Xenopus tropicalis: one gene and its partners. The protein of the gene in region 1 interacts with the protein of each later gene in a pairwise test. Links are inferred from orthologs where the notes say so. Each region holds a gene or a part of one and is shown in the gene's direction. Other genes may lie near its edges.

What was found. The genes of interacting proteins can lie anywhere in the genome.
Region 2: the proteins of iqub (region 1) and tmcc2 interact in a two-hybrid assay, tested with the Homo sapiens proteins (2 studies listed by BioGRID and IntAct). The two-hybrid records come from large-scale screens. The link is inferred for Xenopus tropicalis from reciprocal best matches to the Homo sapiens genes IQUB and TMCC2.
Region 3: the proteins of iqub (region 1) and trim54 interact in binary tests that used the Homo sapiens proteins (3 or more experiments, as listed by UniProt). The link is inferred for Xenopus tropicalis from reciprocal best matches to the Homo sapiens genes IQUB and TRIM54.

Annotation. Positions count from the first base shown.
Region 1 is NC_030679.2:70,232,003-70,236,633, reverse strand, and holds part of iqub (IQ and ubiquitin-like domain-containing protein), read left to right. Parts: coding exon 1-120; intron 121-1,640; coding exon 1,641-1,816; intron 1,817-2,347; coding exon 2,348-2,518; intron 2,519-2,992; coding exon 2,993-3,169; intron 3,170-3,546; coding exon 3,547-3,795; intron 3,796-4,631. UniProt on the Homo sapiens protein: Adapter protein that anchors the radial spoke 1 (RS1) complex to the A microtubule of outer doublet microtubules in axonemes. The triple radial spokes (RS1, RS2 and RS3) are required to modulate beating of the sperm flagellum.
Region 2 is NC_030678.2:72,929,370-72,934,550, forward strand, and holds the start of tmcc2 (transmembrane and coiled-coil domains protein 2), read left to right. Parts: upstream 1-2,018; 5' UTR 2,019-2,082; intron 2,083-2,088; exon of another isoform or gene 2,089-2,742; coding exon of another isoform or gene 2,743-2,814; coding exon 2,815-2,925; intron 2,926-5,181.
Region 3 is NC_030681.2:162,398,188-162,403,594, reverse strand, and holds the start of trim54 (tripartite motif-containing protein 54), read left to right. Parts: upstream 1-2,244; 5' UTR 2,245-2,405; intron 2,406-3,840; 5' UTR 3,841-3,854; coding exon 3,855-4,022; intron 4,023-5,407. UniProt on the Homo sapiens protein: May bind and stabilize microtubules during myotubes formation.

The DNA of each region.
Region 1 (4,631 bases):
AAGGAAGGGAAGATTTAAGGAGAAAAAAAGAAAAGGAAGATCAACTGAGAAAAGATTATGAACGTCGGATGAATCCGAAAACAAAAGATGATTTTGACCTTTTGTATCATGCCCTTGAATGTAGGTATCTGAGCAGCCCCATATTTATACACGTTGATGTTAAATCTAGCAGACCATGTATGGCCAGATGTTTAATTTTACAATCCTATTTGCCCTCCTAATGGGTGGCATGGGCACATATTCCTTCCTCAACAAAATCCCAGCTAAAAGTCATATCTGATATCGGAAATATAGCAGCAGGTCAGTCTCAGGTTGCCCCTTAAGCTGGCCATACACGTGGCGATCTCACGATGTTTCGTACGACCGTCGGTCGCACGAAACATCGTCAGATCCGCCACACACCATTCAGGGCTGAATCGGCAGGTAAGGAGGTAGAAACAATAGGATTTCTACCTCCTTCTGCCGATTCAGCTCTGAAGGGAGAATTTTGGTCAGGCGCCTTCTATGGCGCCCGATCAAAATTTTCTAACCTGGCCGATCGGCGAGTCGACCGATATCAGCAGCTTCCTGCGATATCGGTCGGCTCGCTGACATGCCATACACGCACCGATTATCGTACGAAACGAGGTTTCGTACGATAATATCGGTGCGTGTATGGCCACCTTTAGATTTTCCTTTTACAATCAGCAACAGCATATTTGACAGAATGTCTGTTCAACTTGGGAATTACCTGGGCCTCTCAAATAAGGTGTAAGTAAGCAAAATGGCATGTTTTACTTTATCGTGAGGTTTGTTACTGGATCAGTATTTTTTCTTGCAACCAAGTTTAACTATAGGACAGTTTAGTTGTTTGAAAATAAGGTATTGACTCAAGTTAATGGAAAAAAAGTTAAAAAAAAGTTACTTAATGTAATAATTTTCAAATAAATGTTGGCCAGATTACGCAAGCATTTTTTTGCAATATGAAATTATTCAACGGTAACCAAGTGCAGTTGAATATGGTAATGTGGATTATTCTTCTCAAGTGTTGTTACCTGGTCAATACAAATAAAAATATATTTTACTCACAGATGTATCATGTAACAAAAGAACAGTGTAAAATCTATATTTAAAGTGCTTAAATACTTTTCAACCTGGAATTAAAAAAGCCAGGGTTTTGCTATAACTTTCTTGGTGTCTGTAAAGGTGTAAGTGATTGAAATCACTAGGTATGTTATTTAGACTCTTGGCTTGGAGTGCCTTCCCTAAATATGTCTGTAAATGTATTTGTAGCACTATATGTATTGATAAACTTTTTGCTGAGGCTTCTCTGAGCCAGCAAAATTGTTCCAGGGACATTAGATTATGGTGGGAAGCTAGGTTCCAATTACTAAAGAATTGTAAATAGAAATAGAAATAGATTCCGAAATTTTCCCCCAAGCCCGTGGAAAAAAGTGTCTGAGTGCCATGCCGACATCTCCTTACATACTAGTTTCTTAAAGCTTGCCATGCCAACATATCCTTACATACTTGTTTCTTAAAGCTTGGCACTTGGCGTTCTGCGCATCTAACATTTTGGCACCCCCCCGAAATAGGGGTGGGGGGTCCTTTAACACCCATTTTAAAGTATAATTTGACAATGAGTATATTAATTTCTTTAGCCTGGAGGAAGGAAGAGCTGGAGCGAATTAACCAAACATACACCGGTGCTGAAAGGAAAGCAGCTCTCTGTGAACTTCTAGAGCAGGAAACACAATTAATAGCCTCTATAGGCAGGCATAAGCTAAATGCCAATGAAGAAAACCAGCAACAGTCCATACAGGTCCTCTTGAATAAGGTAAGTAAACACAATTTATACCCAAGGTATTGATAATATGCACTGTTCCACAACCAGGTTTATACAGGCCACATGGACATATAGAAAAATACCATTTGTTCTCTTTTAGGCATATGGTGCACAGTGTGGAGACTCTGAAAATGTTTTTTCTTTCAGAAAACAAAAACGGCTGTGCATTCATTTACTGTCACTTTATACAGAAAATTAAAGTGACACAAATGTATCAGCCTTTAATAAGCGGGGAAACAAGATTTGTTAAAGTGCATATATTTACCTTGAATGGTTCTATAGTTTTGACCTGATCTTAGCCCACAAAACCTTAACCCACACCTGACCATAACCAGCAAAATGTTGCCCTGTTTCTCAGTCCAGGCACCCACGTAAAGCACATAACTTCCCTTAGATTTGACTTACTATTTATGTGTCACTGTAGGAATATCTTTGTAAATTAATGTGTCATTCTTGATATTCTGTAGAGCCTAGAAACAGTACCCTGATGATTATTATTAATAATAGTTTTTTTTATTTAAGTGCTCTGAACCAAAAAGGTGGAAAGCATTTGATGGAAAGACGACTGAAATGGATACTCAGTACACAATCCGTGCAAGACAGCTTCGTGATATCTATACCAGCATAAACACACCATACTTTAATGCTGATGAAAGACTGGATGCACTTTTAACTCTTAAACTTACTGTGAAGGTAACTCATTTTTGGTTGCATACATTTCTAATGACAAGGTTTATAGACAGCTACAATGTTTTTGTTGATTGTATTACTTTGAGGGAAATAATGATACTTTTGTGCAGAAATATAAAACGTATAGCATTTTTGCTGGGCACAATGACACAGACAATATTATGGGATAGCCAACAGATAAACATGTGTGATGTTATAGTGCAATTTGCTATATGTACTAAAGGCTAAATTGCTAAATCTTATCCAACAGATCCACTTGGGGCAATCTATTTGGTCATAACTGTATAAACTGCTATATTGCTTAACTCATCTGGTTTTTATATCTGGTTTTTATGCATGACTCCCACTCCCACCGTATCCTATCATTTGATAATTCAGTGTTCTTATTCAATATATATATATATATATATATATATATATATATATATATATATATATATATATATGTATTTTTGTGGCTGTTGTGCTTTGTTTTAGGAGCATGACTGTAAATTAACCCAAGAGATTGTTGAGCTTATTGACAGAGAAGCTGATCTTTTAATGCGTGGGGTGCAGAACTCCAACTTGGAGGGACTGAGGAAAAGGATATCCACTCTCTTCTTGCAATACATAAAAATACCAACTTTTAATCCTGAGGTTGCCAGACTGCTCAAGGTATTGTAAATATGTACATTGTTCCAAAGATTTCCAATGACAACAGATATTTATCTTTTCTTAATTCTGTTATAAATATCTACTTTTATATTTTATACTGTAAAGGCAATTGCAAGACATAATTCAAAATAATTGCAGTCCTGCATTTAATAATGGGAGGTCAATAGACATATTTCTATCTATACAGTAGTAAACATAATAAATTATGCTAAGTGGCTTGTCAGATGCAGATATTGGTATAATGTTTTATTATTTTTATTCTGTCAGAAAAGCTACAATTATATATATACATCTGATGCAAAACATGTTGTCATAACAGAATACAGAAAAATATAGAAGGCAGTTTAACTAAAAATACACTTGCATTTTTTTGAAAGGTTCCTGAAGATTCTACAGCTCTGCGTAAAAACATATACTTCTGCCCCAGCTGCAAAAGCTATTTGCCATCCACTGAGTTTTCCCTTTCCTCCATCGCACGTACTGTGGGACGGTGTCGCAAATGTTCCAAATTAGACAATGAAGCCAGAGACAGAGAAGAACTTTCAAAATATAAGATTTTATTGAAACAACTAAAAAGATCTGAGGCAGAATATGGTGATGGAAGTAGAATTGCATTTTTGCTTCAGGTAAGCCATGTTAATAAATGCCATTCTTATAATCCTGTCTCAGCAGAACTTTTTATATCATTTTTCTATATGATTTTAAACTTAGAATTGATAACCACAAACAAAGTCACCCACATTTACTGATGTTCAGTCAGCTTTTGAAAACATGTACTGTAGTTCTTGCTCAGATTTCCCAGAAGCAAAACCTGAGATTTGAGATTATTTTTAAAAACCAGGAAGGTTGGAGATTTATAAAACTGTCACTTTTTTTGACTGAAAAAAAGTACGCCACATTTAAGATGGCAAGAACAATTAGGGCCGATTCTCTAAAGTGTGTTAAAACGTGTGCTATTTATAGCATGCGGTAAAATTTTTATCACGTCTAAATTTTCGAGACTTAACGCAGGATTCACTAAAAGCATACTTGCGTTAATTTACGCGCGATACTGCATGCGTTATTTTAGTTGCGAAGACTATTTTCGTGCGGTATTTGGTGGTACATGCGCTAATCAACGCACCGCGTATAAATAGTCGCCACGTATAAATAGTTGCCGCGTATAAATAGTCGCCACATATAAATAGTAGCCGCATATAAATAGTAGCCACATATAAATAAATAGTATCCGCATATAAATAGTAGCCGCATATAAATAGTAGCATATAAATAGTAGCCGCATATAAATAGTCGTGCGAATAAATGCACGCCATGTTAGCCATATATGCCAATACTTGCGGAAAATTACTGTACTGAAAATGCCCATTTCCCTGCAAACTGGAGGCTGCATCACTCTAGGGCCAACACATACTTGAATAAATCCCACTGCAAAGTCCATATTGTGTTGCCAAAAGCTCATTAA
Region 2 (5,181 bases), on another chromosome or scaffold:
CAAAAATAAACCCCGTAGGATTGTTTTGCCTCCAATAAGGATTAATTATATGTTAGTTGGGATCAAGTACTATTTTATTATTACAAAGAAATAGAAAATGGAGATGGCCTTTCTGTAATTTGGAACTTTCTGGATAACGGGTTCCTGGATAAGGGATCCCATACCTGTATATGGATAAGCCATAGACAGAAACATTGAAAATCAGCTTCTGCCTGACTCTTTGATGCACCAATGAAATCACAGTACAGGCTGACAGTGGCAGAGCATACAAGGGGGTTGCAGGAATTAGGTATATAAAAGTGCTACTGATCTGAAACAAATTTCTGCAAATATACAAGAAAATTATCAGTGCACATTTATTGGTCCCATGTTTTATCAGCTATCAATTATCTGCAGGTGCATTCAATGATTTTTAAAATTGCTAAGCCACCATTTCCATGTCAAGATTTTTTTATATATGCTGATAAACCCCGGCATGGTTGCATTTTCTTGGTTGGCTGATTCTCCCCTGCTGAGATTTATGTGTACAGAGAAAATTTTAATTTTGTTGAATTAATAATGGAAATCCCTTACCAAAACCCTGTGTGATCCCCTGGTTCTGAGTCAGCACTGGCCAACATCAGCGGGATTAATTTTAAGTAGGACATGTACACAAAAAAAGAAGAGTTTTGAGTAATTAGAATCCAAGTGTAAAGTGCATGCAGAGCAATGGATCAGAGCAAGCACTACTGACTTATGCATCATTCATTTATTGACAACGCTTACTTATTTTGGAATCAGAATTTGACCAAATGAATCCATGCAAAGCATACACCAAGGTTACAATTTAGTGGTTATATTCTCTAAAACATACAAAATGTTTTGTCAGCTTTAGGTCTATGCTATAATGCATGCAAAAATAACTGACCATATGCAATTTATTTAATTAGGAGAAAAACGGTTCATTTGCAGAGTAATTTTGTAATAAATGCAGAATACAAATATACCTATTTGGGACCAAGCAGGTCCCACAACATCACCATGCATTGTTGAACACTGAAGTGCAGAAAAGTTCATTAATTATAAATAATTGTTTTAATTATTTAGAAAATTAGAATATCCAGCTACATTTCTGTTGCTGCAAGGGCCTACATAACTGAAAGATACCAAAAGAAAGAGTTGTAAATTGTAATATGCAGAGCTACAGTTAAACAGGAAATTAAAACAGGAGAAATATACCTTGCGAGAGCTTTATGTTACCTTGATAGCAGTTTATGTTACCTTGCAAACCACAATAACTATGTTGGGTCAAGAAGCAGTAAAATGTCTTCTTACAGTGCTTTCTAGGGTAAAATAAATGTAAGAAAGATATAAAGGAACATGGCTGCTGAACTATGGAATAAATACTGTGGGTTATATCTGATGCAGAATATGCACCAGTAAACATTTTGGTCTGCTTTTTGAAGGCAAATATATGATGGTTGCTATGGGTTTCTAGACCTAGTATAACATTATTGCCCTTGCCAATTCACACACCAACTTTTAATAGCTGACGGCTACTTTTGTTATATTTATTATTGATGGATGAATGAATGGATGTCTTTACAGATGAATGGAAGGGAAAATATAAAGCAAAATGGGCTGCAAGACTTTAAGAACAGTTTGCGCCCTCATGTCGAACATCTAAAATAAATAGACGGTCAAAGCCTTCATGTAACAAACAGCACTTGAATATCCTGTACAGCGCACGTGTCTCTTCATTCTCCAAGCTGCTACAAAGTTATCAAATGAATAGCTAGCAATTGCACGCTCCTAGCAGCAAGGCGTGGTCCTGCCCTACTCAGAAGCACTAGATTGCATTATTGTTACAAAGCCGGGCTGGTCTGCGGGTCACTTCTCAGCACAGCACATTGCAACCCCTGCAGCACCACCTTCTGTGACAGCTCCCCGCGCTGCAACCCACCTTGAAAAGGCTAATGGTCCGTCCCCCGATGTCTGATTGGCTCAAACTGTCAAAATCCGCTCTTGCAATTTGTTACAAGCGGCGTCCCTCAGTTATACGGGTTGGTTGAGTCTTGGTCACCCCAGTCTCTGCAGGGAGAAGTACGGACGTAGATGCCGGGGCCTCGGGGAGCAGGGAGACTGGGGAGGGGGTTGTCGTGAAGGATGGATTAAAGGAGGGGCCCTTCACTAACCTTACTCTCCCAGCCTTGCCTGGCCGAGCTTGTAGCGTGCGCGCGCTTAGTATGAGTGTGGGAACGCGCCCCGAGTAAGGGTGCATTATTGTGCGCTGGTTTGTTGATTGTAAAGCATAGGTATTAGCTCTTGTCATGGATTCTCCCCGGGTGTGTGTAAGCGTATGTGAGAGTTTGGGTGTATGTCCGCTTTGTGCTGGGTTTGGGTGTAGGATGTGTAGCGTGTGTATATCAAGGTATTAGGCTCATCATGTAGGATTTGTATCTGCTCTGTGTGTCCTGTGAGAGTGGAAATGTGCAGGATGACAGTGTGTGATGTCCTGTTAAATGAACACTGTGAGGAACAGTCATATACCTGTGTGTAGCTCATGTGTGTGTGTATAGCAGGTTATCTGTGAATGATGCCATTTTTGTGATAGCTAATTTAATTTGACCTTATACCCTTCTCCCTCTTCCCTTGCCCTTTACCTGTTCTCATCCTTCCCACCATCCCACCCTTATCTACCCACATCCCTTTGTCCTGCTTCTTTATCCCTTGTTTTGACCCCACCATCCTCACCCTTCAAATATGAAGCGTAGTAAGTCAGACGACTTACATCCTGAGGAACTGGGTGCACAGGATGCCCAACCACTCACTCCCATGGAGGTGCGAGGCACAGACAGCCCTGCCCAAGGGGATCTGGGATCTGCTGGCACAGCTGTCAGCCAAGGTCCTCCAGCCGTCAACCGCAACAAGCCACCAGATCTTAAGGTAAATATGATATGCTGCAATTCTTAATGATTGTCATGATGGTATTTTTATGCTGTAGGCATGTATATGGATAGTGTCCTAATATTTTAATTACTCTCTACATCTATTCCGCATCTACACATACATGTGAGATGTATCCATATTTATAACACTTTGGCTTTGTTCTATATGGTATTGCTTCTAGCACTAGACATTTTTCACATACTACATTTGTGTCCATTCTGAAGCCCTTCGGGTGTTGTTGACTTGCAATTTGTATGATTCTTTGCTCCCAAGGATTTTAGGGGGTGCTGAGAGTTTTAGTCCAAAATATATATTTAGGTGAGTTAGCATTAGAACATTTTCATATAATTTGTGGTTTGTTAGTGAAGAATTCCTTTCAGACTGACAGGGTTGTCTTCAGCACATCCTGTCTGCAGGAACCACAAGTTTAGACAAAGTGCAGTTTTTTAAGCATTTCATTCCAGAATATACCTACAGTGTATTTAAAGTGTAAATTCCACTTCCTGATTCACACTAGTAAAGTGTGCATAGGTACTGATATTTTATATTTCCCCTTTCTGTCACTTGGAAATTATGATACTGAACATTCTGCCACAGCTATAATAGTGCAGCCAGCATTTACGTTCTCTGTGAGGTATCTGTTCTTTCTCTTCCATGCCATTTTCTTCTGTTCTGGTTGCAGTACATATAATTGCAAGGAAAACTGTGTTAAGATAGAAAGACATTTAAACAAATGTATATTATATGATCTCCACATTATCAAGTTTAGAGATTTTTTTTCACTTGTTTGCCATCTATATAATATTCAGTTAAGCGGCTGTAAAAAGTTTTTTGGACAAGCCTGCTAGAATGTGGGAATTCATCACATAGTCTGTGACGCCAGTTCACAGTCCTGCCCCTCTGTGCTAATTGCCGTAATATGTAAATGGGAGTATGCATAGAGAAGGTGAGGGAGAAGAGAAAGGGACAGAAACAAGGATGGTTATTTTGTTTAATTTTTCCTACTGAATTATTGTTTACCAGCTATAGTTAATTGCCTTTTATATACTCTTAAGTTTTTAGTTTGTGGCCACCAGTAATTTTATTTTATTCAGTCGAGGCCTAACACTGAGTTAAATAAATAATCTTATTTTATTTTCAGTAGAGCATGGATTAAAACGCCTATCCTGCCTCTGAAACAGGCATTATAATTGGCCCTGCTAACAGGACCACTAATGTTATTAGTTTGTAATATGCAAATACTGAGCTAAAATTTCTTAAATGGCCAGAATACCATTATATTCTACAATTTCCAAACATGAAGTAGCTTCAGTTTAATTGTTTATCCTGCTTAATTCAAGAAGTAATGAAAAAAAAACATAGATTGTTCATGAAAAAAACAATAGACGAAAAGCAGGTTTAGCACAAGCCCTGAATTTATGTTGAACCCTTGTTCAACATAAATTCAGGGCTTGTGCTAAACCTGCTTTTCGTCTATTGTTTTTTTCATGAACAATCTATGTTTTTTTTTCATTTTTTTTCATTACTTCTTACTGTCCATTTAAGAAAAAAATGTACCCCAGTATCAGTATATAATGTTCAGCACTCATGTTAAACAATAAATACTGTTTATATACTGAAATAGCACAATTAATGCTCATCATCATCTCTGTCTTTGCAGCTGTGCAGCCTAGTTTCCAAAAAGTGCACGCAACTTGCTAGGGAATGTTAGCGTTCTAACTATGTAAACAAAACAAATCACACTCACACAAAATAATATATATTTTGTATAGACACAATGCACACAATTCACTGTAGATTTTGTCTAATGTAGATTCAAGTAATTGCATGTTTTTCATACTGAGTGATTAAAAATGGCTGGCATATCACCAGGTGTCAGTACATTTCTGCCTCCCCTTTTCTTAAATGCACGTATTGTGAACATGCAGTACCACAGGGTAACCAGTTGTTACCAACTATTTCATATAAGATTTGACTGTTCCCTACTGCAGCACCAGACTTGCATATGCACAGAGCCAGATGGGAAGGCACTCCCACACCAGTGCTGCATTGTGCCTGGCAAATACAAGACATAGTTATGTAGATAATTTGGGTTGGAAAAATAGCAATAGTCCATCAAGCTCAACTCCTCCAGATCACCCCTGTTGCATCATATTTGTGTGCGATGTTCCTTAGTTTTTTCCCTGAGAAAGATCATTAAAACATTGCAAAATTATATATTTGCTTGCCTATTAAAATATTTATTTTTAAGTC
Region 3 (5,407 bases), on another chromosome or scaffold:
GTAGAGCCCAGTCCCTGTGGTTCTGCTATATCGGCCCCCCCCCCCCCCCCACAGCCAGCGCTGAGTAGAGCCCAGTCCCTGTGGTTCTGCTATATCGCCCCCCCCCCCCCCCCCCCCACAGCCAGCGCTGAGTAGAGCCCAGTCCCTGTGGTTCTGGCTATATCTGCCCCCCCCCCCCACAGTCAGCGCTGAGTAGGGCCCAGTCCCTGTGGTTCTGCTATATCTGCCCCCCCCCCCCCCCCACAGCCAGCGTTGAGTAGAGCCCAGTCCCTGACTGGAGCAGAGATGTGCCAGTCATGCCATGTGTCTCTGCCAGGGGGGTGCCCGGGCACAGTAACTACCCCCCCTCTCTCTCATCAGCACCTTTTGCCATTTCTCACCAGCACAGAGAGGTGCCAGTACGGAGCTGGTGCCCATGTCACATTGTATGATTGTATGTTAGTGATTGGGGGGGACGGGAGAAGCCCCCCCCTCCCCTGACTCACCAATAAAATCACTCTCCCACACCCCATGGATATTCTGTTTTGTTTGTGGGGGAGACGGAGATGGGGGGACAGGAGATATATATACATAGTGCTGGCCAATATGTGCCCCCCCTGGGGGGGAACCCAACTTAATGTTTTGGTGTTTCTCATTGGCTGGGCTCTCACAGTAGCACCTCCCCTTTAATATATAACCTGCCCTATGGGAACAGTACTATTTCAGAAAATATACAGTATGCACCGTAACAAAGTGAGTGTGGCCCCCCAACAGCGATATTGAGATGTAACAGCCCCTAGGCACCCCTACAGCCCTGGGTGAGTGTGTGGGTTCTGTATGGGGGTATTTCTGCCCAATCACTGCCCATACAGACTCCCCCCAGTTCCATGTGACTGCTGCAAATCAGCCCATAGATTTCCCATGATATTCAGGGGGGGTGCGACCCCCCGCATAAATGCCTTTGTAGCTTTCCCACTGTGTTTGGGCTCATTGTGGGAATATCCAACCCCTGGAACTGCAACTCTCTGCCTGACACTTAGACATGATCCTGAAGGGTTGGTATTGGGGTGAATTCATCCGACCCTCAACTTTAACAAGGACCCCGGTCCCTGAACCAGCCCCACAGCATGATGGGACCCCCACCCAATGTGACAGTCGGCAGTGGGGGTTTCTGGGAAAGCGCTTTTTGTTATGAGCAAATAACGCCATTTGTGTCTCATCAGCCCAAAGCACTTTGTTCCCAGATGCCTGCAGCTAAATGAGCTTTTGCCCCAACAAGCGACGGTATGTGGGGCGCGAGGGCAGAAAGGGCTCCTTTCCCACCCCCCGGCCATCCAGATGGTCTTTGTGCAAATGGCGCTGTAGCACCAGGTACAGATACACCGTCTGCAGCAAGAAGTTCCTGGGGGGTGAGGTGGGATCTTTGGCTTGTCTGGAACCAGTCTCACAATTCACCCCCAATATTCCGCTCTTGGATGTTCCTTGACAGGCCAGACCTGGGTTTTACAGCAACTGTTCCTGTGGCCTCCCATTTCCTGATTACGTTCCTTACAGTTGGAACTGACAGGTTAACCCTCTGGGATCTGAGCTGTTTGTAGCCTCCCCCTAAACCCTGTACTGAACAATCTTTGCTTTCAGATCTATTGAGAGTTGCTGTGAGGATCCCCTGCTGTCACTCAGGAGAGTCAAATAGAAGCACAACTTGCAATTGGTCACATTAAATACCTTTTGGACACACCTGCCTGTGAAGGTCAAGGCGTAACGAGCTAATCCAGCCAATTAGGTGCTGCCAGTAATCAGTACTGAGCAGTTACATTCAGCACAGTTACAAGGGGACCCACATTGTTGCACAGACAGTTTTCCCATTGGGTTTAATCCCATACAACTAATGCGGCTTCACTAAATCTCTTTGTTCAGAAACCCCCCCAGGCCCCCCCCACTTATCTTTAGTGTTTTATTGTGCTGCCTGAGAGGGGTTCCTATATATATTATAGGGGGTGGGGGGGTGCATGTGTGTATGTATATATATATATATATATGTATGTGGGGGGGGGGGTGCGTGCCTTTGTTACTGAGTCATTGTGTGAGTGTGACTCACTATCAGCTGCTCAGTGAGTGTGTGACAGCTGCACCCCAGACTTGCCCCCCCCCCCCCCCGCTCCTTATCCCTGAGCTAAATATACAGCAGGAATGCCCCCCTGCCCCCCTGCCCCCCTTCCACTCATGTCGCATTAACTCTGCCTGATAGTGGGGGGGCACAGCCTGGTGCGAGGGGCTCTGTTAGCTGCTCAGCCACTGGCACAGAAGGGTTAATCATTGGGGGGGGGCAGGAGGAAGTGACCGGAGCCTCAACACTTAGTCTCCCAGTTTGTGTATCATTTGGGGAGAGAGTTGTGAGAGCGCTCAGGGCAGGACACCCAGTACCAGTAAGTGGGGGGCACAGAACTTGGGGGGCAGCTGGGTTGGGGGGTCTGGGTGGTTGTTACAGGGTTTTTGGGTGGGAACAGTAATTTTCAGGGGTTTAGATGGGGGGGTTGCTTGGTATATTGTGGGGGGGGGGTCACAGGACTGGGGATGTTGTGTGAATTGAGGGGGGGGGCAGGGTTTTAATGTTTTTTATTTAAAACTATACAAGAGAAGATAAACTCAACTGAGACCGACAGGCCGGGCAACTTACCCTCTACTGCCCACACTCCCCAAGCGCCTGGCACAGTGGCATCAGCCTGAGGGCCCCTTGGCTGGGGAAGCTGCTAAGTGTTGGGGGTTAAGGTTGTGGGGCTGGGGGCAGTGCCCGTGGTTTGGAGAGGCAGGGGGTGAGGTTGCGGGACTGGGGGCAGTGCCCGTGGTTTGGAGAGGCAGGGGGTGAGGTTGTGGGACTGGGGGCAGTGCCCGTGGTTTGGAGAGGCAGGGGGTGAGGTTGCGGGACTGGGGGCAGTGCCCGTGGTTTGGAGAGGCAGGGGGTGAGGTTGTGGGACTGGGGGCAGTGCCCGCGGGTTAGAGAGGCAGGGGGTGAGGTTGCGGGACTGGGGGCAGTGCCCGTGGGTTGGAGAGGCAGGGGGTGAGGTTGTGGGACTGGGGGCAGTGCCCGCAGGTTAGAGAGGCAGGGGGTGAGGTTGTGGGACTGGAAGTAGTGCCCGCGGGTTAGAACGGCAGGGGGTGAGATTGTGGGACTGGGGGCAGTGCCCGCCGGTTAGAGAGGCAGGGGGTGAGGTTGCGGGACTGGGGGCAGTGCCCGCGGGTTAGAGAGGCAGGGGGTGAGGTTGCGGGATTGGGGGCAGTGCCCGCGGGTTGGAGAGGCAGGGGGTGAGGTTGTGGGACTGGGGGCAGTGCCCGCGGGTTAGAGAGGCAGGGGGTGAGGTTGCGGGACTGGGGGCAGTGCCCGCGGGTTAGAGAGGCAGGGGGTGAGGTTGCGGGACTGGGGGCAGTGCCCGCGGGTTAGAGAGGCAGGGGGTGAGGTTGCGGGATTGGGGGCAGTGCCCGCGGGTTGGAGAGGCAGGGGGTGAGGTTGTGGGACTGGGGGCAGTGCCCGCGGGTTAGAGAGGCAGGGGGTGAGGTTGCGGGACTGGGGGCAGTGCCCGCGGGTTAGAGAGGTAGGGGGTGAGGTTGCGGGATTGGGGGCAGTGCCCGCGGGTTGGAGAGGCAGGGGGTGAGGTTGTGGGACTGGGGGCAGTGCCCGCAGGTTAGAAAGGCAGGGGGTGAGGTTGCGGGACTGGGGGTGAGCATGATCAGGGTGGGGTGCTGGGGCCTCTGTGAGTGGGTGGGAGGGCACGTGGTACTGTTGGTGGGAGGATTTAGGGATGAGGGGCCCTTGGGGGGGCACATATATACCCCCAGTACATCTTGCTGCCTGTTTCTTCCTAGCATCCTGTGAGGGGATGAATTTTGCGGTGGGTTTCAAGCCTTTGGCCGGAGACACCCAGACCATGGACAACCTGGAGAAGCAGCTCATCTGCCCCATCTGCCTGGAGATGTTCACCAAACCCGTGGTGATCCTGCCCTGCCAGCACAACCTGTGCCGAAAGTGTGCCAATGATATCTTCCAGGTACCCCCTGGGGCTCTCTTGGTCTAACCCCCTGTGTGTGGCACTAACGCTATGGGACAGGGGCCATTCTTACTGTTGGGGGGGTATCTCAGGGAGGTGTCTCAGGAGGTACCGGGATCTCATTAATGACTGCCCCCCAGCAACCACAATTGAAAAAAACATAACCTCTTTATTTTATCTCAGAAAACTCTGACTGGTCGCCTCCTCTGATTGGCCAGTGAATACAGTTGGCCTCCATTGGCTGTTGGAATTCACAGACCCCCTCACTGTGGGAAATAGGCCCCGTGATACAATGCCGGATCTATTTATAAATAACCTTGTGCCAACTGCAACCAAAGTAGAATTATATAAATATAAACAGTCAGTTCCTGGCACCGGGGCATCCGTCATGCTTTGCCCTTCCCTGTAACTGAATTCCCTATAACTAGAACCTGCCTTTCCTTCATGGCACCTCTCCCCCACCTGTATTAGAGACAAGGAACAAGATGTAGGAGACTCCATAGGAGGAGGAACAACATAGAGAAGAGTCAGTAGGGGGAGGAACAAGATGTAGGAGACTCCATAGGAGGAGGAACAACATAGAGAAGAGTCAGTAGGGGGAGGAACAAGATGTAGGAGACTCCATAGGAGGAGGAACAACATAGAGAAGAGTCAGTAGGGGAGGAACAAGATGTAGGAGACTCCATAGGAGGAGGAACAACATAGAGAAGAGTCAGTAGGGGGAGGAACAAGATGTAGGAGACTCCATAGGAGGAGGAACAACATAGAGAAGAGTCAGTAGGGGGAGGAACAAGATGTAGGAGACTCCATAGGAGGAGGAACAACATAGAGAAGAGTCAGTAGGAGGAGGAACAAGATGTAGGAGACTCCATAGGAGGAGGAACAACATAGAGAAGAGTCAGTAGGGGGAGGAACAAGATGTAGGAGACTCCATAGGAGGAGGAACAACATAGAGAAGAGTCAGTAGGAGGAGGAACAAGATGTAGGAGACTCAGTAGGAGGAGGAACAACATAGAGAATAGTCAGTAGGGGGAGGAACAAGATGTAGGAGACTCAGTAGGAGGAAGAGCAACATAGAGAAGAGTCAGTAGGGGGAGGAACAAGATGTAGGAGACTCCGTAAGGAGGAGGAACAACATGGAGAAGAGTCAGTAGGGGGAGGAACAAGATGTAGGAGACTCCGTAAGGAGGAGGAACAACATGGAGAAGAGTCAGTAGGGGGAGGAACAAGATGTAGGAGACTCCGTAAGGAGGAGGAACAACATGGAAAGAGTCAGTAGGGGGAGGAACAAGATGTAGGAGACTCAGTAGGAGGAGGAACAACATAGAGAATAGTCAGTAGGGGGAGGAACAAGATGTAGGAGACTCCGTAAGGAGGAGGAACAA